3 linked regions of the Astyanax mexicanus genome follow. The protein of the gene in region 1 interacts with the protein of each later gene in a biochemical or structural test. Links are inferred from orthologs where the notes say so. Each region holds a gene or a part of one and is shown in the gene's direction. Other genes may lie near its edges.

Region 1 (10,125 bases):
ATGAAGGGATGGATGAAAGGATTCAGAAGTAGGTGCAGGTATAGAGAGAGATGGATGGAGAGATGGAGGCTATAAAACATGTTTTATGGATGAAAGCAGACAGGAAGTTTTACTAATATAAAACTGTGACAGCTGTCATTACATCATAGCAGCACAGACTAACACAGCATAAAGTAACAGCTGCTGTTACATCATAGCGGCATAGAGTAACACAGCTGCTGTTACATCATAGCAGCATATAGTTACGCAGCTGTTGTTACATCATAGCAGCACAGACTAACACAGCTGCTGTTGCATCATAGCAGCATAGCGTAACACAGCTACAGTTACATCATAGCAGCATAGAGTAACACAGCTACTGTTACATCATAGCAGCACAGAGTAACACAGCTGCTGTTGCATCATAGCAGCATAGCGTAACACAGCTACAGTTACATCATAGCAGCATAGAGTAACACAGCTACTGTTACATCATAGCAGCATAGAGTAACACAGCTACTGTTACATCATAGCAGCACAGAATAACACAGCTGCTGTTACCTCATAGCAGCATAGAGTAACACAGCTACTGTTACATCATAGCAGAAGAGAGTAACACAGCTGCTGTTACATCATAGCAGCATAGAGTAACACAGCTGCTGTTACATCATAGCGGCATAGAGTAACACAGCTGCTGTTACATGATAGCAGCATAGATTTACACAGCTGCTGATACATCATGGCAGCATAGAATAACACAGCTGCTGTTACATCATAGCGGTATAGAGTAACAAAGCTGCTGATACATCATAGCAGCATAGAGAACCACAGCTGCTGTTACATCATAGCGGTATAGAGTAACACAGCTGCTGATACATCATAGCAGCATAGAGAACCACAGCTGCTGTTACATCATAGCGGTATAGAGTAACACAGCTGCTGTTACATCATAGCGGCATAGAGTAACACAGCTGCTGTTACACCATAACAGCATAGAGTAACTCAGCTGCTGTTAAATTATAGCAGCATAGAGTAACACAGCTGCTGTTACATCATAGCAGCATAGAGTAACACAGCTGCTGTTACATCATAGCGGCATAGAGTAACAGCTGCTGTTACATCATAGCAGCATAGAGTAACACAGCTGCTGTTACATCATAGCAGCATAGAGTAACACAGCTGCTGTTACATCATAGCAGCATATAGTAACGCAGCTGTTGATACATCATAGCGGCATAGAGTGCCACAGCTGCTGTTACATCATAGCAGTATAGAGTAACAGCTGCTGTTACAGTATAGCAGTATAGAGTAACACAGCTGCTGTTACATCATAGCGGTATATAGTAACACAGCTACTGTTACATCATAGCGGCATAGAGTAACACAGCTGCTGTTACATTATAGCAGTATAGAGTAACACAGCTGCTGTTACATCATAGTGGTATAGAGTAACACAGCTGCTGTTACATCATAGCAGCATAGAGTAACACAGCTGCTGCTACATCATAGCGGCATAGAGTAACACAGCTACTGTTACATCATAGCAGCATAGAGTAACACAGCTACTGTTACATCATAGCAGCATAGAGTAACACAGCTACTGTTACATCATAGCAGCATGAGGTAACACAGCTATTGTTACATCATACAGTATAGAGTAACACAGCTGATGTTACATGATAGCAGCATAAATTTACACAGCTGCTGATACATCATAGCAGCATAGAATAACACAGCTGCTGTTACATCATAGCGGTATAGAGTAACACAGCTTCTGATACATCATAGCAGCATAGAATAACACAGCTGCTGTGACATCATAGCGGCATAGAGTAACACAGCTGCTGTTACATTATAACAGCATAGAGTAACACAGCTGCTGTTAAATTATAGCAGCATAGAGTAACACAGCTGCTGTTACAGCATAGCAGCATAGAGTAACACAGCTGCTGTTACATCATAGCGGCATAGAGTAACAGCTGTTGTTACATCATAGCAGCATAAAGTAACAGCTGCTGTTACATCATAGCGGCATAGAGTAACACAGCTGCTGTTACATCATAGCAGCATATAGTAACACAGCTGCTGTTACATCATAGCGGCATAGAGTAACACAGCTACTGTTACATCATAGCAGCATAGAGTAACACAGCTACTGTTACATCATAGCAGCATAGAGTAACACAGCTACTGTTACATCATAGCAGCATGAGGTAACACAGCTATTGTTACATCATACAGCATAGAGTAACACAGCTGCTGTTACATCATAGCAGCATAGAGTAACACAGCTGCTGTTACATCAAAGCGGCATAGAGTAAAACAGCTGCTGTTACATCATAACAGCATAGAATAACACAGCTGCTGTTAAATTATAGCATCATAGAGTAACACAGCTGCTGTTACATCATAGCAGTATATAGTAACGCAGCTGTTGTTACATCATAGCGGCATAGAGTGCCACAGCTGCTGTTACATCATAGCAGTATAGAGTAACACAGCTGCTGTTACATTATAGCAGCAAAGAGTAACACAGCTGCTGTTACATCATAGCGGTATAGAGTAACACAGCTGCTGTTACATTATAGCAGTATAGAGTAACACAGCTGCTGTTACATTATAGCAGTATAGAGTAACACAGCTGCTGTTACATCAAGTGGCATAGAGTAACACAGCTACTGTTACATCATAGCGGTATAGAGTAACAAAGTTGTTACACCATAGCAGTGTAAAGTTACACACACATGTTGTTACATCATAGCAGTGTAAGGTTACACACCTGTTGTTACATCATAGCAGTGTAAGGTTACACACCTGTTGTTACATCATAGCAGTGTATGGTTACACATCTGTTGTTATCATAGCAATGTAAGGTTACACACATGTTGTTACATTATGGCAGTGTAAGGTTATACACTTGTTATTACATCATAGCAGTGTAAGGTTACACACCTGTTATTACATCATAGCAGTGTAAGGTTACACACTTGTTGTTACATCATAGCAATAAAAGGTTACACACCTGCTGTTACATCATAGCAATGTAGGGTTACAAACCTGTTGTTATATCATAGCAATAAAAGGTTACTCACCTGTTATTACATCATGTCAGTGTAAGGTTACACACTTGTTACATCATAATGCTACTGTCCTAGCTTACTGTTATTTAACAATATATTTGTAGCATTATTTTCAGTATGTTCCATGTATTTACTCTACAGCAGGATGATGTAACAATAGTAGTTATGACATCATACTGGTATGACTCAGTTATGTCACACTAGTACAGCATGCATTCTGTACTGGTTTAGATCTGCATGTTTATTCTGGTAATTGGGTTTAAATTGTTTACTGATGTTGTTTTAATAGTGTCGAGTCTGTTTACTGAGATACTCACTAATTATCACCCCTACCAACACACACACACACACACACTACACACACACACACACACACACACACACACACACTACACACACACACAACACACACACACACTCACACATTTTAACATTAAATACTGTTTACAGAATCCATTCATCAATTTAGTAGAGAAAATAAAATTATCTCTCTCTCTCTTTCTATTTCTATTTCTTTATCTCTCTCTCTTTCTATCTCTCTATCTTTTTCTATCTCTCTATCTTTCTAATTCTCTTCCTCTTCCTCCTGAGCTCTGATTGGATGAAAGAGACACGGTCACAGAGTATGAATATGAATTCAAATACAGAGAGAGAGAGAGAGAGAGAGAGAAAGAAAGAGATAGAGAGACAGAGAGACAGAGAGGGAGGGAGATAGAGAGAGATAGAGAGAGGGAGAGAGGGAGAGGTGGGGTGAGTGTGTGGGTATAAACAGCTATGCGAGCGTGAAGAAAATAACAAAAAAAAGAAAATCGTAAATTTCCGAAAATAGCACAGGCAAAGACCTCTCTCTCTCTCTCTCTCTCTCTCTCTCTCTCTCTCTCTCTCTCTTTCTCTCTACATCTCTCTCTATCACATTCATTTCCTCTTATTCTATCTCTCTCTTTCTCTCTCTCGCTCTCTCTCTCTCTTTCTCTCTACATCTCTGTCTATCACATTCATTTCCTCTTATTCTTTCTCTCTCTTTTCTCTATTTTTTCATCTCTCCATTCTTGATTTTTTTTACTCTTTTTTCTCTCTCTATCACATTAATTTCTATATCTCTCATCCTTTCATTTTCTCTCTGTTTCTTACTGTCTCTCTATCTCTTTATATATTATATCTACTTTTTTCTTTCCTCACTCTCAGTTTTCAATCTCTTTCTCTTCTCCTTTTTCTCATTCTCTCTTCTTTCTCTTTTTTCTCATTATTTTTTTTACTCTTTTTTCATTCCTCTTTCTGTCTCTCGTTTCTTTCTCAGTTTCACTCTATCCTTTTCTCTTTTGCTATTTCTCTTACTTTTTTCTCGTTCATTTCCTTTCTCTCTCTTATTCCAACTTCTTTCCTCATTATTTCTATCTCTCTCTATCCCTTTCCTCTTTTCCAGCATTCTCTCTCTCCATGAACGTTTTATCTCTCCCTTGTTTCTCTATCTATCTCTCTCTACACTTTTACTGTCTCACTGCTCTCTCTCTCGACTTTCTCTTTCTCTTTTTTCTCTAATTCTCACTTTTCTTATCTATTTTTCTTTTTCTCTCCATTTTTCACATTCCTTATATTTTCTTTTCATTTATTTTCATTTTCTCTCTCCCTTTTTACTATTTTTTATTCTCTCACTTTGCCAATTCTCTTTTATTGTCATTCTCTCTATATATATTTATATCTCTCTTCCTATCCTGTTTCTACCTCTACTTGTCCATGCTCTCTCCACTTCTTTCTTTCTTTCTTTCTTTCTTTCTTTCTTTCTTTCTTTCTTTCTCTCTCTATCTCTCTCTCTCTCTCTTTCATAAACATATTCTGTGACTCACTCATCGTTTCCTCTGCCAGGATTTTCTCTCTGCTCTCATTAGTGCCTTCCCCATCTATCCCTCTATCACTCTCTCTCTCTCTATCTCTCTCTCTATCCATTTTCTTCTTCTCTCGCTGTTTCTCTCTTTCTCTATCTCTCTACCTTTCTCCCTATTCTTCTTGCTCTGTCTCTCTTTATCTATCTCTCTCTACCTTTTCTCTCTCTTCCTCTAAACTATCCTTACATCTCTCCATCAATCTTTACCCTCTTTCTCTCTCTTTCTCTCTCTTTAGTTTATGACGCCCCCTCCTCTCTCTGTCTCTCTCTCTTCCCCATTTCTTTTTTTATTTCATTTTCCCCCTCAGTACAGTCCCCCCCTCCCTCCTTTCTCTCTCCCAGCCTCTCTCTCTTTCTCTCTCTGTCCTCATCCCTCTCTCCTCTCCTCCTCCTCTCTCTCTCTCTCTCGCTCGGCCGCTGTGTGTGTGCGTGTGTATCTGATGAAGGGTCGTACTAAACTGCCTTCACTCTGCTCCTGCGTGGTACGTATCCGCCTTTCTTCCGCGGGGATCTCCATCCATCCATCCGTCTATGCCTCCATCCCTCTATACCTACATCCCTCTATTCCTCCATCCCTCCATCCCTCTCTCTTTCTCTCTCTCTGTCTCTCTGTGCTGCAGGTTTTTGGGTTGTTTACGGCAGAGGTTCAGACGTGCTGTTGGCGTTGTGTGGGAATGCAGACAGTGTGTGTCTGAGTGTGAGTGTAAGTGTGTAAGTGTGTGTGTATAGTGTGTGTGTCTGTGTGTGTGTGTGTGTGTGATGCACAGTCACGTTTTCACTATTTTTTTTATGACGGGGTATGAAAACATCTGCAGTGTGCATCGTCACTGTGTGTGTGTGTGTGTGTGTGTTTGTGTGAGTGTGTGTGTGTTTGTGTGAGTGTGTGTGTGTGTGTGTGTGAGTGTGTGTGTGTGTGTTGGTATTAGTATAATTGGGTAACTTTGTAAACCTGTTGAATATGCATAAGTGTAGGAACAGGTGTGTGTGTGTGTGTGTGTTTGAGAGAGATACATGTATTGCATGTCTTAGAGTAAATTAGCTGAGTGAGCAGAGAGAGCGAGAGAGAGAGAGAGAAAGAGAGAGAGAGAGAGAAAGAGAGAGAGAGAGAGAGAGAGAGAGAGAGAGAGAAATATAATGCAATGGAAATTGCCATATATCAAATTGGTCAGTAGGCATCCAAACCAGACTACCTATCTAACCAGCCTTTATCTCTCTCTCTGTCTCTCTCTCTCTCTGTCTCACTCTCTCTCTCTCTCTCTGTCTCTGTCTCACTCTCTCTCTCTCTCTCTCTCTCTCTGTCTGGGTGTTTGTGATGAAGCAGCATCACTAATGTGCGTATATAATATTCATTATCTCTCTGATTACTGCAGAACACTGTTCACAACACACACAGAGACAGAGAGACACAGAGAGAGAGACAGAGAGACAGGTGCAGGTAAGGACAGACAAACTGAAAAGAAAAGATGGACAGAGAGACAGATGTATAAAGAAACAAACAGATATAGACAATCTTGACAGATGTATGAAATAAAGGAGATAAGGACAGAAATATGGAGGAGCAGGTGGACAAAGGGACAGACAGAGACAAGGAGAAATGGAGAGACAGAGAGAGAATGTAAGAGACATATGTAGAAAGGGAAAGAGACATGGAAAAAGAGACATATGGAGAAAGGAACAGAGAGATGAGAAAAGAGACATATTGGAAAAAGGAGACATATTGCAACATGGAGAAAAAGACAGAGACGTGGAAAAGAGACAGACAACATAAAAAAGGATGTAACAGACAAAAGAAAAGGATAGAAAGAGAGACAAAACTGATTAAGAAATGGACAGACCGATAGAGAAAGGAAATAGGGACCGATAGCTGGAGAATGGAAACGACAAAATGAGAAAGAAACAAACTGACAGAAAGATGGAGAATGAGACAGACTGAGAGACAGACAGGTGGAGATAAGACATACAGAGAGATAAACGATTGGAGAATAAGTAGGATATAGGGATAGATGGAATGACAGACAGATAAAAAGACAGATGGAGAAAGGGACAGACAGATAGAGACAGACAACTGTAAAGAGGGACATGTATATGGAGAATCTAAAATACTAAATGAGAAAAAAAAACTTACAGAAAAGTGGAGAGAGAGACAGATGGAGAAATGTACATACAAAGAGAGACAGCTGGAGAAAGAGACAGATGGAAATAGAGACATATAGCTGCAGAATGGAAAATACAAAATGAAAAAGAAACTAACTGTCAGACAGATGGAGAATGAGACAGATTGAGAGACATACAGATGGTGATAAGACAGACAGAGGGATAGACGTTTGGAGAAAGATAGGAAATAGGGACAGGTGGGATAGAGGGATAGATGAGGTGTCAGACAGATAAAAACGCAGATGGTTGCTGAAAGGGCTAGATAAGGAGAGAGAGACAGATAAAGAAATGGACAGACAGATGTAGAAAGACAACTGGAAAGGGACAGATAGCTGGAGAGTGGAAAATACAAAATGAGAAATAAACAAACTGTCAGAAAGACAGATGGGTGCCCAAAGGGCTAGAAAATAGAGACAGACAGATAGAGAGAGAGACAGATGGAAAAAGAGACAGATAGCTGCAGAATATAAAAGACACTGTTAGAAGGAAACAAAGTGTCAGACAGATGGAGAAAAAGACAGACTGAGAGACAGACAGATGCTGATTAGACAGACAGAGAGATAGATGATTGGAGAAAAACAGACAGATAAGGAATAGGGACAGGTGGGACAAATAGAAAGATGGAGTGGCAGACATAAAATGACAGATGTTTGACGAAAGGGCTGGACAGAGAGATGGACAAATGGAAAAAGAGACAGATAGCTGGAGAATGAAAAAGACAAAATGAGAAAGAAACAAACTGTCAGACAAATGGAGAATGACAGTGGTGATAAGACAGACAGAGGGATAGACGATTAGAGAAAGACAGGCAGATAGGGATAGAGGGATAGATGAAGTGGCAGAGAGAGAGACAGACCAATGGACAATGGACAGACATAGAGAGACAGATGGGAAAAAGGGACAGATAGCTGTAAAATGGAAAAGACAAAATGAGAAAGAAACAAACTGTCAGACAGATGTAGAATGAAACAGACTGAAAGACAGATGGATGGTGATAAAAGAGACAGAGAATAAACGACTGGAAAAAGATACAGACAGATAGGGAATAGGGATAGAGGGATAGATGGAGTGGTAGGCAGATAAAAAGACAGATAGAGAGACAGATCGAGAAATGGACAAAACATAGCTGGAGAATAGAAAAGACAAAATGAAAAAGAAACAAATGGTCAGACAGATGGAGAACGAGACAGACTGAAATATGGTAATAAGACAGACAGAGGGACAGATGATTGGAGAAAGACAGACAGATAGATAGACAGCGTGGCAGACAGATAAAAAGACAGATGGTTGCAGAAAGGGCTGGATAGAAAGAAAGGGATGGAGAAATGGAAAGACAGATAGACACAGAAAGACAGACAGGTAGAGAAAAAGTCAGATAGGAGTAGACAGTTGAAGAAACAGACAAAAAGAGAGAGAGAGAAAAATGAAGAGAGGGACAGATAAACAGATAGAGAGACACAAACAGAGGGGACAGATAGACCGATAGATAAATGGAGAGAGGGACAGATAGACAGATGGAGAGACAGACAGAAAATGCAGTTTACAGCAGTAGTAATTTAAACAGGTACAGAATGAATGGAAGTGAATGGAGTTAGTCTATTAGTCTAATCTATACTAGAGTTATTACTATACTTATCTATTTACCTTTATTTTATAATATTAGTTCTAATGTTATATATTTTTATTGTGTAATAAAGCATAAAATATATATTTATACATTTGATCTGATATATTTCTGTAAATATACACATACTGGGTATATACTGTGTGTGTGTGTGTGTGTGTGTGTGCAGATAATATCACTGAAAAAATGATGATGATGATAATAGTAATGATAGTGATAATAGTGATGATAGTGATAATAGTGATGATAGTGATGATAATAGTGATGATAGTGATAATAGTGATAATAGTGATGATAGTGATGATAGAGATAATAGTGACGATAGTGATAATAGTGATGATAGTGATAATAGTGATGATAGTGATGATAGAGATAATAGTGATGATAGTGATAATAGTGATGATAGTGATAATAGTGATGATAGTGATGATAATAGTGATGATAGTGATAATAGTGATAATAGTGATGATAGTGATGATAGTGATAATAGTGATAATAGTGATAATAGTGATGATAGTGATGATAGTGATAATAGTGATGCTTATGATGATAGTGATAATAGTGATGATAGTGATAATAGTGATGATAGTGATAATAGTGATGATAGTGATAATAATGATGATAGTGATGATAGTGATAATAGTGATGATAGTGATGATAGTGATAATAGTGATGATTATGATGATAGTGATAATAGTGATGATGATGGTGATGATAGTGATGATAGTGATAATAGTGATGATAGTGATGATAATAGTGATGATAGTGATAATAGTGATGATAGTGATGATAGTGATAATAGTGATGATAGTGATGATAATAGTGATGATAGTGATAATAGTGATGATAGTGATGATAGTGATGTTCGTGGGGGAACTGAAGATGAGTCTGTTATTAAACTGGCCCTGAACGACCTTACGCTGATTCAACAGCTCTTTAAGAGTGAGTGTGTGTGTGTGTGTGAGTGTGTGTGTGAGAGTGTGTGTGTGTGTGTGTGTGTGTGAGAGTGTGTGTGTGTGTGTGTGTGTGTGTGTGTGTGTGTGTGTGTGAGAGTGTGAGTGTGTTTGTATGAGAGTGTGAGTGTGTGTGTGTGTGTGTGTGTGTGTGTGTGTGTGATTTTTGCTAAGTCATTCTGGGCTGTAGGTTGTGGAGCTGCAGTTTTATGAAGTTGGTGCTGCAGGAAAATGTCTCTCAGTATCGAAGCCTCCCATTGGTCGAACTCCTGTGAAGCTCCGCCCATTTTACATCTCATTTTTCTCTCTTCTAAACTGTTTCAAATTCAGTGTTTTTTCATTGTTTCAAAATGTTTTGCATTGTAGATTTTAATACTAGTCCAAATTATGAAGAAACACATCTGAAACCAGAATACGTTTTATAGACAGAGACATGGAGAAAGAGACATGTGC
Region 2 (10,532 bases), on another chromosome or scaffold:
GTAGCGCGATTTAAGCTTCTGAACAGCGATGAAGCTGAATGTGTATAATATTTTACAAAATACTATATTAACAGTTTAAAAACATTTATGTGCTACTGTAGTTAGTCCTGCCTATATGCCGCTCTTAAACAGAAGTAACTGATTGAAAACGTTAGAAAAGCCCTGACTTTAGATATTTTTAAATCAAAGATTAAAATACTCGTTTTTCTGGAATGGCACTTCCGTGTTTTTTTTTCCTTCATTGCAGTAATTGCATAAAATCGTGTATGTGTGTGTGTGTGTGTATATATATATATATATATATATATATATATATATATATACACAAACACACACACACACACATACATATACACGATTAAAAAACACGAAAGTGCCATTCCAGAAAAACGAGTATTTTAATCTTTGATTTAAAAATAAATAAAGTTCATTCATTCAGCTTCACCGCTGTTCAGAAGCTTAAATCGCGCTACGTTCAACCGGTAGCAAAGCAGTTTCCGCCTTCTTTTGACAGATCTGTTAAGGTGATTGGCTGCAGTAAAAAATGATGGACAGCTTGGTCTGTCTGAGGATTGGCTTAATAAAAAGTGATTGACAACGAAAGTGTAGTATCTGATTGGCTGCAGTCGAAAATGATTGACACATGCTCCGCCGTTTAGCCACGCCCACTGGGGCTCCGGTCTGCAGCATTACATAGATGGCTTCCTGTGACGACGGATTATAAACGAGGGAGGATCTACACTGGTGGTGACAGCCTTCTTGTTTAATTACCCTTTGGACCCTGTATATAATCACCCTCTTATTAATTACTGTCAAATTAAACATTTATATAGGCCCTAAAACAGAGCCCAGTGGGATGCTACAAAATATGCTGTGATTTCCAGTTAGCTCCAAAGCTGCAGAATTCATACATGAACCCCTAACCTCTGAAGCATCCCAGTGGATGATGAGTTATCTTACAACTTTAGGTTCTTCCTAATTGTTTTGTCCTTGTGTTCTTGGGGAGATTTTCCACTGTCATCGACTGCTTGCTCCCCAGGGCTCTGGACCTGGATTTCTGTAAAATCTGAATCTGGGACAGAAACTGTAGCAAGTCTACCCCCAACCTTTCTTTGAAAGATTTGCCCTAAAAAGTTCAGTTTCAACCATAACTTATTTTAAACCCATTTTCCTTCACACTTACTGTTCACACATTGCTAGTCTTGTCAATTAGGGGAACAGATGTGTTAAATTAGGGTCTGTAGTAAATTTGGAGAATGCAGGGGGAGTACATCTTCAGGAACGAGACTGGGAGCCATTGGTTTCTGTAGCTTAATTAGGCTGGCTCCTGGACACACAACAGCACTGCACACAAAAATGTTTTAAGCACACCAAAATGTTTCTTTAATGAAGGCAAAGGTGAAGAATCTGTCTAATCTAAGAATCTAAATTATTTTCTTTTTATTGGAATGAAATTCAGCTCATTTGAACAAACCCTTTGTTTTGTGTTACTAATCTGACCATTTTTTCAGTAATTCAGTAACTGGAATTCATTACTTCCAGTAATTAGATTAAAATTGCTTATCAAAGTCACTGAGTGTTTTCTTTTCTTAGTAAAATGATATTGTAGCGTCCGGATGGACATGTTGAAAGGATGTACGAGAAAGACGGGGTGGGGTGTTGTCAGCAGCTGCTGAAAGTAACTTCAAAATCAAGTAATTAAGTTACATTTTAAAAGGAGTTATCAGTAATCAGATTACCTTTTTCAAAGTGCTGTTGTTCACAAAAGCCAGATTAAGTTTAAACCTAGAAAAAAAAGAATAAAAAAACTAAAATACTGCTTCGTATTTAGAGTATTATGTGATTTTTAAATTCAATTAGTAAAGTACCTCTTTTCAATGTTGCTATAAACTAGATGAAATGAAGCAATGGCGCCCTCTGCTGTCTGTAAAAATACATACCATTCATTTATATATGAGTATTTTTGTAATAGATAATAGACTCTTGGGTGTTGTGAAATCCTGGTATGCAGAAACAAAAGATAAAGGGAAAAAAAATATTTATGGTCTAGTTATTGCAAATACATTGAAAAGTTATGACGGCCAAAAACAATGATGTGTATATTAAACAATGTTTTAAAAGGGAAAGTCCAGTGACTAAAAATGTGAAAAAAAAAACTAAATCTAGTCATTCTGAATGGTTTGATGGGAAATGTGTCATTCTAGACAAATACTGAGTCATAACTGTTCGTGTGTGTGTGTGTGTGTGTGTGTGTGTGTGTGATGTGTTATAAGAACTCAAAAGAAAGATAATACACTAAATCATCAATAAAGCTTTGCCCTCATACACATTTAAAACACATATATGGTAAAGTGGTACATTAGAGGCATTTAAACATTAAAGGCTCATTGTACATAATAAATAAAACTCCTAATAGTAAATCAGTTGCATTGGAGACATAATAACCCCTGGTTTTTATTACCACCGCTGTAAGGAAATCATATTTTTACATCAAACTTTGAAACTTACATTAGCACATTAAGTGTGGACATACAAACAGTCAAGGAATTTCTAATGAATATAATAGTAAAATTTAATATATTGTATAACTACCCTGTAAAATTAATTATTAAAAATGACAATTTAGTCAGATCTAGAAGAAGCATGGAGAAGCATGGTTCTAAAAAACAATAACAGCTAATTCTGGCCCTCTTTAAGAACTAACATGGATCGTCACGACTTAAGATTTGCTTGATAGAAAAAAACTGAACATACAAGTTGTTCTGTCCGTGTTACTGTTCAAACAGCTCCATTCAAAAGCCCATCTGTGGAGCTGCGACATTATGAAATACTCACCTCATAAAGTCTGACTGTTCGCTGTGTTTATAAAGACCTTAAACACTGCTCTGTTTAATAAAACATTATTATTTTTATTGTATTTAATAATTTTTTGCAGAGTAGTTTAAATTATGTTATATCATGCTGTTGAAGCCTCATAATTGAACACATGCCTGCTATTTATAATGTAACTACCTGTCCTTACACTACATATTTCTATATACATATGCACACATGTTCTGCTCCTACTGCCACTGTAATCAAAAGCAGCTAAATCATTTCACTACTCAAAGTCAGACATTATTAAATTCATCAGAAAACATTTTGTTATAAAGCATATATTTATTGTGTTGGGATTCAAAACGACCTTATTCATTTAAATGAATTGAGACCTAATTAACACATAAAAATGATGATGCTAATCAGCACTGCATTAATGCATAATTATACAATGCCTCTTCAGAACAAGCCTACTGCCAGTCATTAGCACAGCTTAACATCTTCTAAACATCCACTCCAGCAAAGAGCTCATCTACTGAAGGACACCAGTGGCCTGGGCAGCAGGTGTGCATGACCGTGACATTTAAATCTACAGAAATGTTTGTTAGGGCAATATTTTGTGTAACTTTATATATAATGTGGGTGTTTACATGCCTTCAATTATCTAAATATAATCAGATTTCTGAAGTTATATTTATAAAGTTATTTTTTTTTGCTAAATGTAGTTACAAAAACAGTATAAACTTAGACTGTTTTTTTTTCAATATTACTGCCCATAGGGTGTATGTAAAGATGCCAAAATGGACTGTTCAAGTCCAGCAAATTTATGATTTTAAAGCACAGTTATAAAAGCCTCAACATAATTTTAATATATTATAATGGTTTACACCATTTTTTCTTTTTCCACTTTTTGTGTTTCTTTTATTATTAATATTTTTATTATACTATGTAAAAATTAGTTTTAGCTGTTTTTTCTTGTATTAATCTTATCTTCTTTTGGTCTTAATTTCTTTTCAATTAAAACAAATTTCTATATTTGATTTATTGTTATTTTAAAATAAATAAATCCTTTTTTTTGTCATGTTAATACAAAAACTTGACTACATTAAAAATTAGGGTTGCCCTTAATGTACTTCAAGTCAACCCTGCAGGCACATAGAAGTATTAGAGGTTATCCTTACGTAAAAAAAAATGTTGTGTCTGATGTCATGACATTCAACCTGAAATTAACTTCTATTGATGTTGGTGCCAGATGGGAAAATAAAGGTTGATTGATTGACTGATTGATTGTACAGCTGATTCTTCAATTCTGGGCTCACTTTACAACAATACCTCTACAGTGTGGCTGTGACTAATAAACTGTAGTGGGTGGAGAACATGAAGCCTGTTGGAGTGGTGTCTGTCTATTGTAATTGTGGCTGAGAATATTTGTTTTATGCGAGCCTTTGTTGTGCTGATGAACATTCAGACACTGAATAGTCTGTTTGCGCTGGGCTCCAGCTCACGTGGGCGTTTAACAGAATCAAGCTGCCTGCCAAATGAGCTGAAAGCCGAAAGCAGCTGAATGTGAGATGCGCTGAGCAGAGAGGTTAACTGGTTGGGCAGGTGGCAGGTGGCTTGGGATTCTGAAGCTAAAGAACATCAGTTAGGTTATATTACAAAACCACTGTAATTACCCATAAGGGCTGGAGAAGAAAGAGTGGCGTGTGTGAATATTACTCTAGGCATGGTCTGATTGACTGAAAACACTGTGTGGAATGTGATGCCTTGCTCAGAACAAATTAACAGAGATCTGATAAATGGTTAAAGAGGATGTTTGGCCCAATATGCATGATCACATCCTCTGGGACTCTTCACTTTATCCTTCTTAACCAGGCATGAGAAGCTGGAGAAGCTGTGGGGTTTATTTGCCAACTCTTTCTCTTACCCAGCAGAAGAACTCACAGTATTAGCTCTGTTCTCACACTCATACACCATACTTGCTATTTATCACACATTTTAATGATCCCTCTTTCCCTTAAAAACACCTCTGGATGAATCTGACTGCTGCTAGTTTCTACATCTGCCTCTCTGAAGCCAATCCAGCTTTTATATCAACAATAAACATAAAACGAAATAAAATAACATTGCTGTTCCTGGAAATTACCTGTGGGCGCACCTTCAAAGCATGAATGTGCAGGCCAGTAATCCTCTGCTGAGATGCGCAAAGCACTGCACTGTTAAGATACCAACGTGCCAAAGTCAGAGCACACCTGCCTCTGGCAAGTGAAACGGTGATTGGTTTGTTTCACATTACACCCAAAACACATCTATGATTAAGTCATAACCTTTATAACTCACACATTTAGGACATTTGAAGTCACAGCTCGGAAAAAGAATATAAGTGTCCATAAATTTACAATAAATAGTAAAATAAATAGACAAGCAGTATAAGACAGAAGAGGACATCATAAATATTGGCATGGAAACCATAGTAAATATAAAATATTGCAGCAAAGTTATACATTATACATCATATGTATTGCATATTAGAGGTGAATAATTAATTCTGGTATGTAGATGTATAAGTAAGTGTAAGTAGTTAAATTCAAGGGTAATTGAGAGATAAGTCAGGACACATAAGCCTAATATGTGTGATAATTAGCCTGCATTAAAAGAACGTTTTTTTTGTCCTAAATGATCGTAATACCTCCTAAAACTATTAAAGTGTTCACCAGAATATGCTGCCTTCAAGTCATCATCGAAAATTCGTACTTACATAAGACGAATATGACTCGCATTAGTTGAGTGATTTTTTTTATCCCATTAGAACCGTAAATAATATTAGACTTTTACACTTATTTTTCATGTATTGCTAGTGATTTTATTAGTTAGCTTATAACAAACTGCAAGTGTTAAGCGGTTTACATTACGAACTGTCTGCATCAATTTATTTAATGTATTTATTAATTTAAATAAATGTAATTAATTTATTTATCTCTTGTTACTGACACGCCCCCAACTGGGAAACTCCGGCCTGGTCTAAAAATATGTGTTTCCCACTGGTAAATACGAGTTTGTGGTGGCGTTCATGTGCTCTTATCTTGTAAATACGAGATATAAAAATATTTTCGACACAGCTTGAAGGTAGCATAACAAAAACGAAGCAAGTGTTAACGCATGCGCAGAGTACCGTTGGTCTGAAACTGCTGCTTTAAATCCGCTGCTCTGCAGACAGAGAAGACGCCCGCGTGACTCCGCCCATTCCAGCCCGTATCGTAGCAACCCTGGCCCTATCTTCTTCCCTATTGGTCAGAATTCAAGGTTCCGCCATATTCAAACCTTTTCGGTGTCCGTTTGAATACATTCCCTTCCCCCCGCTTTCATTCACTAATATTACTCCCATATCCGTTTATAATAATTCGGTTAGTTTACATTTCAGCTCCGGCTTTGTTTACAGCGCACCGCATTTTTAGGTCTGTTATTTTCAATGGAGGACATAGATGAGCCACAGACTGCGCCGCCCGCTGCTGCAAATAAGAGGCCGAAGAGGAAAGCGAGTCTGCGGAGAAAGTCTGTTGTGGCGGACGCGGAGCCCGAGTCCCCCGGGAGCAGCGACCGGAGACGGTGAGGGGACAGGGCAGCCAGCCGCTCAGCCAGCAGGCTCCTCTTAGTTAACTAACAAAATATGACTTCTTTATTCTTTATGTGCAGAATTCTAGTTACGTAGCTAGCTGTGTTTTGAAGTTAGCTCGCTAACTAGCTAACACATGAGCTAGGCTATCTAAGTAACTTAGCTGCTGGCTAACTGGTACATAAATCAACCATATTCGACAGCTGTTTTAGCAACTTGGCTAACTAGCTTAGCTAGCTAACTTACTAGCCGTAGCCTGTTTATGTCTAGGCCTCGCTGTTCTCTCGCACACAAATTTAGACTTTCCTTCCTTATAAGCTTGGTTGAGACAATTAATTAGTTAGCTATCTAACTAACTAACAATAATAAACTATCCAGCAGGTAGCTAGATATAGTGTTGGGTTAGATGGTAACTTTTTGTAGTTCGCTACTTCATTATCTACATTTAAAAAACACTAGCTGTTAGTGTATACACATTGATTAGACATAACATTAGAAACACCTGCCCAGTATTGTGTATTTACGTTACCTCTTGTGCCGAGAAAACGTTATGTTTTAGCATAGCCTCTAAATGAGCTCTAAACCTGTCCCATGATATATGGCACCAATTTGTTAGCAGCAGATCCTTAAAGTCCTGTGCTTACTGCATGAAAGGTGCCACTATAACAACATCACCAGTTTTATTCACTTAATGATTTGCACTAAGATACTGCATTTTTTATTTTTGTAATAAAACTACTACTACTATTACTACTGTTTTTTGTAAATGTGCAATTGCGTAAATATGCAATTGCGGAAGTTAGATATTCTGTTTGTGATCAGCAGTAAATATTCCCTCAACACTGTAATGTGATTGATTACACTTTTACATACTTGTTTACAAGCTAGTGCAGCGTAAGAATCTGCTCATTAAACTCTGCTACTTAACCAGCCATTAGAATGTTAAAGTAAGTTTGTGCTTGTAACGGAAACACTGTACATTTTGCAAGTCATACAGGATTTTCATTTTAAATACTGATATTTTCATGTTCTGTAGTTCTTCTGTTCCCCCACACGGTGGAGCTCAATTCACACTGATTAGAATACATCATTAATGAGCCTGTGCTTCAGAGGCAGCTGTAAGTTGGTCCTGTCTGTAAAGATAACACACTGACATAACCGTCTTGCTTATAAATATTTCCCAAATTACAGAAAGAGTGCAGCTTGATTAAAGGAAATATGGTTAGTGAGAATTTGCTATGTTTCTCTAATCTTTCTGAAACAAATGTAATGATGCTCTCTGTAATATGGCAATATGGCAAGAGTTCATGTCCAAAACTTATCCAAACATGGTAACTTCTCTTTTTAGCCAGATTTCTCCAGTAAGTCCTGTGAAAGAGCAGGAATAGCATGAAGAAAAGCTGTTCTCTTAAGTTCTAAGATAAGTAGGGAAGAGTTTACATTGGCAAAGCTGCTGGTTTCCTCTTTCGTGTTGGTTGGGTGCTTTCAGTACCTCCTGCCAATCCCCACACAACCTTTGACTTCCCAAATGTCAGCAGAGCTACAGTCTGAACAGTTAAAGTTCCAGATAAAACTGAAAAAGAGGTTATAAATGTGTATTGATTATGATTTTTGGTGATGTATAGAACCATTTAAAATGAACACTGGTTTGCTTGTTTTGAACTGATACCAACATTTTTTTTCCTTTTGGTCAGACCGAATTTTGAGCCTGGGCCATCACTCACAGCACCGGTTACACCTGGTTCAAAGATCTGTACCTAACTGGGATGTAGGCAGCTAAATCAGTACAGTGGTAAAGAGCTAGAACGGTTTAAGCATCCAAATAGATTGTGTAAGATTGTGTAATTGAATTGAGCATGCTAAAAAATACTTGTATACGTGTATTGTGGTGCAGTCAGAGTGGATAATTCTTGTGATTTTTAACATGAATTCTTTTGTGCTCTCATTTAGCTCACCAGACCTCTTGAGTTCTAACTATACATTTCTTTGATTTAATGATGCATGAATGAGCAGATAAAGGCTGTGACGGTGACATATCCAATGTAGGCAAAATATCTACTATTGGATTAAATATATGTACAAATTTACTATTTCATTTTTTTATATTGCAATGTATATCATAGAACAACAAAATATTTTTCAAGAAATGTTTTTTTTCCAATATCATGCAGCCCTAATTGAAAGCCCTAAATGTCCCTTACTTTTAGGTAAGATTTATCCCATGCCTGTGTTGTAGGGCTGCAATGGTTAGTCAATATGATCGACAATGTCGATTATGTAAATTTGTCGACTAATTGTTAATTTGTATGGGAGATGGGTAAAAGGCTCACTCACACAGTTTACACTCTTATTACACACTTATTCTGTGTCTCCAAAAGTGCCCAAACACAACAGATTACATATTTAATAACTAAATATTAGTACTTTCCACAACATTTAGACATTAAATGCCTTTTAAATCTCTTGTTCTACTGTTCTCCCTACCGTTTTTAGAGATGGGGACATGGCAGAAATAATCATTGACTGATCGAAAAAATAATCATCAGATTAGTCGACTATCAAAATAATAATTAGTTGCAGCCCTACTCTGTTGACTGGTCAATATCTCTGAATATTAGCTGCAATAAGGATTCATTTTGCATGAAAATGTATAACACTTATAAGAATACATGCTCTCTACCTTACTTAACATTAATTATGTGAAGAATAATCATTCTCTTAAACAATGAGTTATTTCCAGTGTAGATTTGACATAGGATGCAGTACTGAAGTTTTGATTTCAAATTACTAGAAAGGTGTAAATTTTTCAGCAAGGCACCTCCATGCTCTCCTAATGATTTCCCCGCTGTAATGTGTGTGTCTGGATGGCAGGTTCTTTGGAATCACTCATAACAAGACGTGCTCTCTACACACCCTTATGGTGGTATTGTGTAATCTACCCCACTAGTATGTCTATGATATCAGCAGAAGCTACTTGTGTTTTAACTATGCTCTTGCGCACACAAGAAAAGGCTATTCGGTCATTTTGTTAGCTATCGTTAGTCATTTAGGGATAGTCTCAGTTATCCTTAGTCATTATTACATTTCACATAAATATCAATTGTTAGATTGAAGGGGTTTGTGTACTCTCAGCTACCGGTACTTTAAGGTTCCCGGATTGCTGACACAGATCTGGAAATAAACATACAATATTGTTTTCCAGTATAGAAGTACTGCCAATAGAATATGACTCTTTTGAAGCAGATATACATCCATTTATTTTCACCATGCCTAATACCAGGCATGGATTATAAATGCCTTGTAAGACATGTTATTGCAACCGGAAACACAATTAACTACAAAGTGTAAGTGCAGTTGGTAAAATCTTATCAGATACAATCCAGACACAGGTCACATTTAAGTGACCAGGTGTTAACAAAATCTTAATCCTACAGTGTTAGATGGATGGGCATATTTTAAGAGAGAGAAAGGGGTAGCTCAGCTAAGTGGAATCTAATAATGTGTCTCAGAAGAGCTATGTTGCCTTCAACAGGTTTGTTTAGAGGTGGAATATTGATATATTGTAGGATTGTGATAATACATTTAGCAATACTGTATAGATTCTCAAAAATAGTGTTAATTTTCAATGGTTTACTTGCAAAAATAGGGAGAAGAGTGTGATTTGATTTTGTGTTGTTTAACCCCTTAAACACTGTTTAGTAAAGTGTAGTAAATTGATTAGCTTCCAAATAATTAATTACAAAAATTATTACCCTAGAGTTAAGAAGTTAAACCCCTGTCTGGGTTTGATGGCAGTGTTTAAAATCAGTCTTTAGATCCAACTGTTCTGTGTGTATACAGAGTTAGTCTTACGTTTTACTCACAGTTTTATAAATATGATTTTTGCTTTTAAAAATCTCTGTATATCACAATACTTACAGTACTGCGATATATCGTAAAATGTGTATCCTGATACTATCTTATTGCCAGTTTCTGCCCAAAAACATAGCCCTAATTTAACTCTGCTTGAGGGGTGTAAAGCCCCTCAACACTGAGCTGGAATGATTGTGTTCTGTAAGTACTTTTGGGATGAGTTCGGGTGAACATCCTGACCTCACTAACA
Region 3 (10,038 bases), on another chromosome or scaffold:
GTTAAGGCAGAGACCTTGTAGCAGTTGAGTCTGAGTTAAGGCAAATACTTTGTAGCAGTTGAATCTGAGTTAAGGAAGAGACCTTTTTTTCAAGCCATTTTCTAGTAGTAGTCTAAGAATCTGACTTAAGACTGAAACTTTAAAGCGGTCATGTCTGGGCAAATCAAGGCTGAGTGTTTGTGAAATCCTGGACATTGGTTTGCACGTTTTACTTTGTACTTTTTGTCAGAGTCTTTTATCACAGTAGCCTGTGTAGTGGTTGGTTCCAGTCTTTATTATATCATATTTTTTGCTCTATAAGGTGCACTATCAATGAATGTCTATTTCCTGGTCTATTTTCATACACAAGGTACACCAGATTATAAGGCTCTATAAAGAACTTGTAATTAAGTAGGTCTTGCCACTGGGTGATGGTGGGGGGGTAACTAGGTTAAGGAAAGCTAAGCTAAGTAAACAAAACTGTAATAGAAAAAAGACTTTCTTTTAAAGTCAAACGAATGCTTGATGTTAATCTACACAGATGGCTACAGGCCAATAATACTCCCTCTGAACGGTGAAATAGTGGTTAGCAGCTAATGCTAATGCTACTCCAATGCCTGAAACATTAAACTGAAACTCCTGAATAACCCTCAATTTGGTGTCTTTACTGCTCCTTACAACCTGCCTGGTAGAATTCACACATTAGAGGCACTGGATTAAAAGGCGCACTGACAATTTTTAAGTGCACCTTCTATTATAGTGCGAAAAATATGGTAGTCGTGTCCAGAGTCAAGTTTAAGTCTTGGTAAAGGCAGAGACATTGTATTTGATTAATCCGAGTCAAGGCATGTTTTGTAGTATTTGAGGTTAAGTCGATGGTTAGTCCTTATAGTTTTCAAAGTCATGAACAAGGTTTGGTAGCATTCGAAACTAAGTTAAGGCCCAGACTTTTAACAATTAAATGAAAATGATTAGTGATAATCAAGTTTTGGTCCAGGCCTAGTAATTGTACAATTCTGGCAAGCACTGGATTCTGATATACTACTAAAGTAGTGCAGTAAGAGTATCTGTGACTGAGTCCTCTCCCCCCCTCTGGAGCTAAACTCGATGGTGTAAGAGCGGAGAGTGCATGTCGTTGTTGATCTGAAGCTGCTGTGTTGAAATAGCAGAAGGAACAGAGGAAATTTCACTTGAGTCATTTTTACATGATTAGGCTGGACTGTGCGTGTGTGTGCTCGTGTCTCTATGTGTGTGTGTGTGTGTGTGTGTGTGTGTGTGTGTGTTTAAGGGTAGTTGGTGATTGTTTTAGTAGAACGAGTAGCTGTTTATGAGCTTTGAAAAGTGGGAAACAAAGTTATGCAGTAATGGTGAGTTGTGTGTGTGTATGCGTGCGTGTGTGTTTGTGGCATCATAGTGACTTCATATTTTTTAGCTGTAGGAGTTAAGACAGGAACTTGTAAATAAAAGACACTACATAATCCATAGTGATATTAATAGTTATATTAATATTAATAGTAATATTAATATATTAATATTAATAGTAATGTTGATATTTTAAAATTCATAATACATACTGATAAAACTTTAGCATATTTAATTCATAGTGGATACTGAATGATTCATATTTGTTTCTAAATTATTCATTGTAAATAATGAATACATTATCAGTGGATGCCAAATGATTTGCACTGGATACTGTAATCACTAAATAATTTGTAGTATATAATATAAATCAGTCATAGTGGATACTAACTAATACATAGTCATAATCATTCTCCTCCTACATTGAACAGAAGCAGTCAGAGATCACGTGGGTGGAGAAAGACTTCTCCAACATTCGACAGGTAAGAACTCACCTGGAGCTTTCAGCTTAGACTCTGTCTTTTCTGCTGTAACTGAGCTACGAATTTCAGCTACTAACCTGCTGCTACACGCTTTTTGAAGATACTACCAAATTTTCACACTATAAGGCGTACCAGATTATGAGGCGCACTATCAATAAATATCTATTTTCATACATAAACCGCACTGGATAATAAGGCACATTTTGTGACACTAGTAAGGAATAAGGGTGTCGCCATGTTTACCTTTAAATTCAACAGGTCTGTCTGCTGCGTGGTGAGACCTGTAAAGCTAAGCTAAGTAAACAAAACTATTCTAAAAAAAAATATATAATAATAAAAAAAATTCAGTCATAAGTCCGTGCTGGATGTTAATTTCCTGAAAACTGTTTATTTGTGTTAGTAAAGCTTGTGCTTATTTACAGTAAGCTTAGATATCCACATTTTTACAGCACTAAGGACTGGAGCATTAGCATTAGCCGCTAACCGCTAGTGATTAGCTGCTAATGCCGCCCGACAGAACCCTGAGTGTTCCGGTAAGTGCGATATTAGCTATCGTCCCACGTAGCTTGTTTTAACACTGTAAACATGCAGTTTACAGTCAGATATACTCACCTTTAATCTAATGCTGTGGTAAGTGGATAATGTTAATTCTGCTTCTGCAGTGCTAGCGTGGGTTAGCAGCAAGCTACAGGCCAGTAACACTCACCTCTGGTCGGCCAACAAGCTAGCACTTAGGGCGGTTAGTAGCTGATGCTAATTCTAATGCTGGGCAACTAAACTGAAAATTCTGTTTAACACTGAATTTCAGCGGAGTGGTTTTAGAGTGTGGTTTGGTTTGTTTAATTTTTATCCCCAGATGCTATTTGGTTTTTCCGTTTTTTTTTTTTTCAGTATTGCAAGTCTTAGTAATTTTCTTTGGTCATGTGGAGTATTTCGTTTCTTATCTTTTTTTAATTTGTTAGATTATATTTTTGTCAACATTTTTGGGTTTATTTTCGTTTGCTATTTTTCTAATAATAATAGTAATTACATAATTAATTTTCTTTTGTTCATTTTTTTACTGGGAAAGTAACGCAATAGTTACTTTTACTGGTAACTAGTTACTTTTATAGTGGAGTAACTCCGTTAGTAACTCAGTTACTTTTTTGGAGAAGTAACTAGTAACTATAACTAATTACTTTTTCAAAGTAACGTGCCCAACACTGACAGCTGTCTGATTTAAAACGCTTGCCAGATGTGACCTACCCAGATGTGATCACTATCTTGTTGAAACGCAGTGAAAGCGTACCGCAGTTTGAGCGCATATAATTACTTTCTCAGTGGAAGTTGGGAATATGAGTTCCTATAGTAGAGAAGCATCACTATAGTGTATGGTGAGGTGGAGCAAGTCAAACGCTGTCCAACACGTACTCTGCATTATTTATTGATAAGAAAGAGGGAGAAGTTGTGAGCGGACACTGTAACTGCATGGCAGGTTCGCAGTGTGAAAAATGAAAGCAGGCGTGTTTACTATGGAGGACCAAAAATGACAGAAGTATAAATAAATAAATGTTTAAATAAATAAATGAATAAATAAATAAATGTTGACATAAATAAATGCACATATAAATGAATAAATAAATATATAAATAAGAAATGTATTTATTAATTTATTTACCTATACAATTATTTGTGCATGTATTTATTTATTTATTCATATATTTTTTTATTTATTCATTTATATGTGCATTTACATATATATTTATTAATTTCAACATTAATTTATTTATTCATTTATGTATTTATATATTTATACATTTCTATGTGTGTTTATTTATACTTATGTCATTTTTGGTCCTCCATAGTTTACTTGTTTAAAGAACAATTTGACCTGATTTTCAATGTTTATGACTCTCAGATTAGGTGAAGTTTGCATTCATGTTAAATTATGTTAAAGTTACGTCCACTGTTTTGAACGCTCTTTACGGCTAAACGGAAGTGTCCTAGGAACAGCTACGTCACTTCCTACGCTCATGAATATTCCTCTGAAACGGTCTATAAGATGCACTCACGATTTTTGGGAAAATAAAAGGATTTTAAGTGTGTCTATACTTCTACATAGTGATACAACTCCTGCTTCCGGACTGCAATAACAAAAACTGGGTTTTTTTGTATATTTTTTGGGGGGAGCATTCTGTGAAAACCCTTTTAAGGGAACTGGTTGAATTGTAACACAGCCTCTAATTATTATACACAGAGAAATGGTGCCCTCTAGTGTACAGCACTGCTGTAGCATTAAGTCTCACTTTCTCTTGTTCACTCTACCCTAAACTTTTAATCTCTCTCTCTCTCTCTCTCTCTCTCTCTCTCTCTCTCTCTCTCTCTCTCTCTCTCTCTCTCTCTCTCTCACTTTCTCTCTCTCTTTCTCACCTTACTCTTTTTCTCTCTTTCTTTTACAATCACCCTCACTGTCTCTACCTCTGTCTTTACCCTCTTTATCACTTTACCCTTCTCCTCCATCTCTTTCTCACTTTCTCTACCATAACTCCTCAGTCTTTTTCTTTTTTCTACTTCAATCACCATCATCTCACTTTCTCTCTCTCTCACTCTCTCTCTCACTCTCTCTCTTCATTACTATGTGTAATTATTTGTTCTTTCTATCTTTATTCTCTTTCTTTTTTACATCTTACTCTTTTTCTTTTTTGTGATTAAGGATTTGTATGGGGAGCAGCAGACGGGCAGAAAGAGTGAATGCAAAATAAAAAGGAGCATGAGTGACAAATATCTATGGGCACAATCTTCACAGATAGAGATAAATAGGAGAAAGTGTCCGTATTCAAAGCATACTTTCCAAGAAAATCCAAAATATTCAGCACAAAAGTCTGTCATGTTTTAACAGGGCTTAGCATGGTGAAGTCGAGTTATGGTACATTCAAGTTTTGCTATATTCAGTAGATTAAACACCCAAAATGATTCCATGTAAAGGCCAGGTGTAATCCAGTTTTGTAGAATTGTCTCTTTAGCAGCAGTAAATCCAGAGAACAATAGCTTGCACTGTATCATCTTCAACTCCAAGTTGGAGTTATCATTCAGGAGACAAAAGCATGGATCCCAATTGTATTCTGTTTTAAGAATATCAGACAACACTGTGTTCACATATCTCCAAAATTGTATAATTACAGGACATACCCAGAACATACGAGAAGCAAAGGTGTTACATTTATGGCAGTAATAGTACATTTGAATTTTAACCTAAGGTGGTAATAGAAAGGGGGTTTGTAGAGGCTTGTGATAAATCCTAGCAACACATCCTCTTAAAGGTAAATGAGGTTGTATCTATTTCACCATTGGATGAGTTGCTATTTGAGAGCCCCTTGGGCCCATATATGCTTTGAGTGCTGATCTTATATGCAAATACACAAAATAGGTAGAAGATGGCAGATTAAATGTAACCTTAAATGACTGAAAAGAGTGAAAACCTCCATCGGTCAACGGTCAACCACAAACGTTAATACTCTCTTTTACAATCACCCTCACTCTCTCTACCTTTGTCTTTACCCTCTCTACCACTTTACCCTTCCCCTTCATCTCTATCTCACTTTCTCTACCATCACTAACTCTGGCCTATTTCTTTTTTCTCTGTCAATCACCATCATCTCTCTCTCTCTCTCTCTTTCTCTCTCTCTTTCTCTCTCTCTCTTTCTTTCTCTCTCTCTGTCTCTACATATCTAGCTTATTTTTTAGCATTTTCTCTTACTTTCTTTCTTTCTCCATCTCCTGTATGTTTCTTTCAGTTCAGTAAGTTTCTCTATCTCTCTCTCTCCCTCCCCTTCAACCTCTTCCTTCCTGTCTAACTACATTTCACATCCCTCGTTCAGGCTCTCACACTCGCTCTCGCGCTGCAGCAGTACGAGTTGTAGTGTGAGTTGTGTGAAGCTGGGCGAGCGGTAGTCAGTTAGTGTTGTGAGAGAGAGATGCCGAGGTCCGTCAGATTAACCATAGCAGGAGGCAGATAGAGGAGGTGACTGTGGGAACCCCGGACTGGTGGAGAGATGAAGAGATGGAGAGAGAGAAAGAGAGAGGGAAGTTTAAGCTGAGGCAGGTGCTCACACTCTACCTGTTTAAAAGACAACAGCGGAAAGCGCTGACTAACGGCGCTAACGACCCTAATGGCTCTAACTTCTGTCCACTGGTGGAGGCCAATAGCAGCACAGCTGCCACCGCATCATTAACTGCATCCAGCACCGCTTCAACATGCGAACAGAGGCAGTGGATGGTCAGTACACAACATGCACGCACACAGACACTATTACATAAGTCTACACTCTCTTAAGAGTTAGTGCTTCTTTAAGGGATGCCATAGAAGAACCAATTTGGTTCCATAAACAACCTGGTTTAATAAAGATTAAAAAGAAGAACCTTATGGTATAGATGGTAGAAATTAATTTTATGTGAGGCAACACCTGCTGTCCCATTACTTTTGGCATGTCAGCGTAGAAAAAAAAAACTCGCACCTTCCAAACATGGTAGAGGAAGTTTTGTACACTGTTACTGTAATAAAAAAAGATCAATGACTATATTTAAAAATATTGTCTTACACTGGTCTAATAGTTTAGTGGTGTCTTGCTGGTATTGGACTGGTTCTGATACCTGGTCTTAGATGGGTTCAGCCTGTAGTGTTGTGTGATTAGGACTGGGTCAGGGCAGCTGTTAGTTTCGATGTGAGAGGAGGAGCAGTACTGAGATGTGATGAGGATGTGATCTGTGGGTGTTTACGTCTTTTAAAAGGTGTCAAACACTCGACTCAAAGTGTAACTAAGTGGAGGTGGTTAATTTTAATGTGATATCAGCACAATTAGAAGGAAAACACACTTTGTTTGGCGTGACTTGGCTGCTCTCACTCTGTTTTCTCTATGGCTGCCTGTGTTTGTATATGGGTAGCGGTAAGTGGCAAGTAAAGGTTCAGTGCAGTCAAACTCATTAGCAATATTAACCAATAATGCAATAATATGAAAAAAATCAACAAAACATAACACAAAACAACGCAGGTGACCAAGTCGAGGTAATAGTGTTAAAAAAAAATCCTCAGAGCTGGAGGAACAAACCTTGGTAGGACTCACTTTTTTTTTTTGGTCAAACTAAACATAGCACAAAGTTTTGTGTTTTTTCCTGTAAAAACACTTTTTTTAAGTTTCTGGTGCCATTTCTGCCTGACTGGCACCTGATTGGCAGAACCTGTAAGAAATTGGCCCTGCGGCAGTGGTCAGAAGGTGTCTATGCGTTAGGAACAACTTCAAGCTGGTGCTCTGCAAAACCAAGCTGAGGCTTCATATGGAGTAAGCCCTGGAATAATTTATACAGTCATATGAAAAAGTTTGGGCACCCCTATTAATCTTAGTTCTAAATATTTGGGTGTTTGCAACAGCCATTTCAGTTTGATATATCTAATAACTGATGGACACAGTAATATTTCAGGATTGAAATGAGTTTTATTGTACTAACAGAAAATGTGCAATATGCATTAAACCAAAATTTGACCGGTGCAAAAGTATGGGCACCCTTATCATTTTATTGATTTGAATACTCCTAACTACTTTTTACTGACTTACTGAAGCACAAAATTGGTTTGGTAACCTCATTGAGCTTTGAACTTCATAGCCAGGTGTATCCAATCATGAGAAAAGGTATTTAAGGTGGCCAATTGCAAGTTGTTCTCCTATTTGAATCTCCTCTGAAGAGTGGCATCATGGGCTCATCAAAACAAAACATCAAATGATCTAAAAACAAAGATTGTTCAACATAGTTGTTCAGGGGAAGGATACAAAAAGTTGTCTCAGAGATTTGCAAAGGTAAACTAAACCTGCATACAGGAGTCTGCAAGATATCCCTTAAAAGTCTCACTCGAATGTGTGACGGTTTAAAGCTTTATCATATATATTCAAGATTCAAAATATGTGTGACTTCCTCATTTGCCTTATTTATCTGGAAAACTGTTGCACAGACAGTAGCGTAAGCTAGCCTGTTAGTAGTTAGCCTGGGGCAAAGGTGTTAGCAGCAAGCCTGTAAGGGGCTAGCATGTTAGCAGTTAGCCTATTAGCGGTTAGCCTGTCACTATTTATTTAGATAACTGTCCTGTTGTCCTGTTATTTTTTGTCTAAACGTTTATAAGTAAACAGCCTGAATGTTGTATTTAATAAATTTTCTGTTAAAAAAATAACCCAACATTTAATTATTTTGCAGCCATGTAAACATAGGACTTTAAGCAGTTCCTGCAAATTCCTGTCCCATATAATAGCATATACCACAGTAATGTTTTCACAAAAAAAAAGTGATATTGCCCAACCCTTATTGTGTTAAGATATTTAAATTGGTCTTGTTTGACTTGTTTGAAATGTACCAGTAAGGCTGGGGTTTTCAATACAGTGTGGTGCAAGATTTACAGTTAATTTGTCCAGTAAGTGCATCTGTAAAGCTGGGTATTCCAGTGGCTATTAAGGGCAACTGTAATGCTGGGTTTCCAAGTCAGTGGCCAATAAGGGTAAATGTAAGGCTGGCATTTGAAATAAAGTGGCCAGTAATCGTAGCTGTAGAGCCGGGGTTCTGATAGACAGCCTGTGCTGGTGATAGTAAAGTAGTGTGTATTTAAATCCCTCTGTACAGCGAGATTATTTTGAGTTATTTGACACTGTGGTTTAAATGGTGAAGTAGGCTCGTTTCCCGTAACTGTGCTGCGAGGTGGAGTTCCTCTGCTGGTTCCTGTGTGTGTGTGTGTGTGTGTGTGTGTGTGTCACCGCATCTGATCTCATTTATTATATGTTATTTGTTATATTATATTATATGTTTCTCAGAGCTCTAATGGGTGTATTAATAAAGACTATCCAGCGGAATTCTCTGCTGAATGATGCACATGCACTCAGAGGATTTTTGTAGCGAGGCAGAATTTAGCACAATAACTGGAAAGACAACTTATTACATTGTTAACACAACATGCCCTTCTACAAACCAATCAGTGTCAGCACACACAGGTGAAGATAACTGAACACAGCGCGCAGTTCTTCAGTTTGTTGCTGAACTGCAGTGTGAAATCAAAACTATCTGGACCTAATGTAAACGATGCATACAGACTGTGATTCGCATACTGGTCCACACGTTCAGGTGTAAAAAAAGCCCTAAATATGCACATGTTTATATTTTATACTCCCATTTCCCACCAAGCACCTGTGCTTCATTTCACCTAAAGGAACAGGTTAAACAATCTAATACCAGTTGACCAGACTTATTTGGTCCACAATGGGAGATGCTAGGCTAATATTGCTAACAAACACTGTCACTATTCTCTTCTTGCATGCTTTTGGTCTGGTCTTAAGAAGCGGGAGGTGCTTCTGGTGTCACACAGCTCCAAACCGCAGACTGCAGCTGATAATCTGACTGGTGATAATGGGGGTTTCCAGGCTGATATGCTGTTAATGTGAATAAGAACCTATGATGCTGGTTCCATGAATTAGATCATGGAAATTGTGATGTTAATCTGGACACAATGAAGCCATGAAGTGATGCAGTAGGGTTTTTTTTGTTTGTTTTTTTTGGGGGGAAACTAGAGATAAGGACTTTATTATATTTTACATTTTAAATTTGGGCTTTAAACTGTCCTTTCATTTTTATTTTGGAGTTTATTCTGTTTAAAATTCTGGCCTCTCTCTTACTGTTCTCTTAATTTTTATGTTTATCCCTATTATGTCCTTGACTTTTGATATTGTAATTTACTTTGTTCCTTATTGTTTTATTTTAAATCCTGTGTCTAGGTTTTATTAAATTTTTATTTGTTTCCAAAATAATGTTGAGTTATTAAAATAAAGCTTCCTTTATAAAACCTAACCAAAAATGTGTCCTTTTGCAGGATGATGATGTCATCAAAGAGATTAACATCACACATGTGGTTAAAGAGGGGGCGGAGAAAGCAGACCCATCCCAGTTCGAGTTGCTCAAGGTGTTGGGCCAGGGGTCTTTCGGCAAGGTATGAAAACACACACACACACACACACACACACACACACATTTCTATATTATACTAAACATTCTCTAAACAGTTTTAATTATAACCTCCTAATGCTTAATATGCAAAACCCATCCCCATGGCCATCCTCTTAAAATCTCGATGCAGTCATCAGCCATGGTGCACTGAGCACCATTATAAACTCAGTACATCACAAATTATGGGCAGGGTTTTCAGACTGGT

What was found.
Region 2: the proteins of disks large homolog 4 (region 1) and net1 interact in a biophysical measurement, tested with the Homo sapiens proteins (2 studies listed by IntAct, with this or other methods). The link is inferred for Astyanax mexicanus from reciprocal best matches to the Homo sapiens genes DLG4 and NET1.
Region 3: the proteins of disks large homolog 4 (region 1) and rps6ka1 interact in a test that uses a peptide from one of them, tested with the Homo sapiens proteins (2 studies listed by BioGRID and IntAct). The link is inferred for Astyanax mexicanus from reciprocal best matches to the Homo sapiens genes DLG4 and RPS6KA1.

The regions. Positions count from the first base shown.
Region 1 is NC_064408.1:2,143,407-2,153,531, forward strand, and holds the start of disks large homolog 4, read left to right. Parts: upstream 1-5,096; 5' UTR 5,097-5,180; coding exon 5,181-5,423; intron 5,424-10,125. UniProt on the Homo sapiens protein: Postsynaptic scaffolding protein that plays a critical role in synaptogenesis and synaptic plasticity by providing a platform for the postsynaptic clustering of crucial synaptic proteins.
Region 2 is NC_064409.1:8,467,907-8,478,438, forward strand, and holds the start of net1 (neuroepithelial cell-transforming gene 1 protein), read left to right. Parts: upstream 1-6,169; 5' UTR 6,170-6,286; coding exon 6,287-6,423; intron 6,424-10,532. UniProt on the Homo sapiens protein: Acts as a guanine nucleotide exchange factor (GEF) for RhoA GTPase. May be involved in activation of the SAPK/JNK pathway Stimulates genotoxic stress-induced RHOB activity in breast cancer cells leading to their cell death.
Region 3 is NC_064421.1:34,848,466-34,858,503, reverse strand, and holds the start of rps6ka1 (ribosomal protein S6 kinase alpha-1), read left to right. Parts: upstream 1-5,675; 5' UTR 5,676-5,862; coding exon 5,863-6,078; intron 6,079-9,699; coding exon 9,700-9,816; intron 9,817-10,038. UniProt on the Homo sapiens protein: Serine/threonine-protein kinase that acts downstream of ERK (MAPK1/ERK2 and MAPK3/ERK1) signaling and mediates mitogenic and stress-induced activation of the transcription factors CREB1, ETV1/ER81 and NR4A1/NUR77, regulates translation through RPS6 and EIF4B phosphorylation, and mediates cellular proliferation, survival, and differentiation by modulating mTOR signaling and repressing pro-apoptotic function of BAD and DAPK1.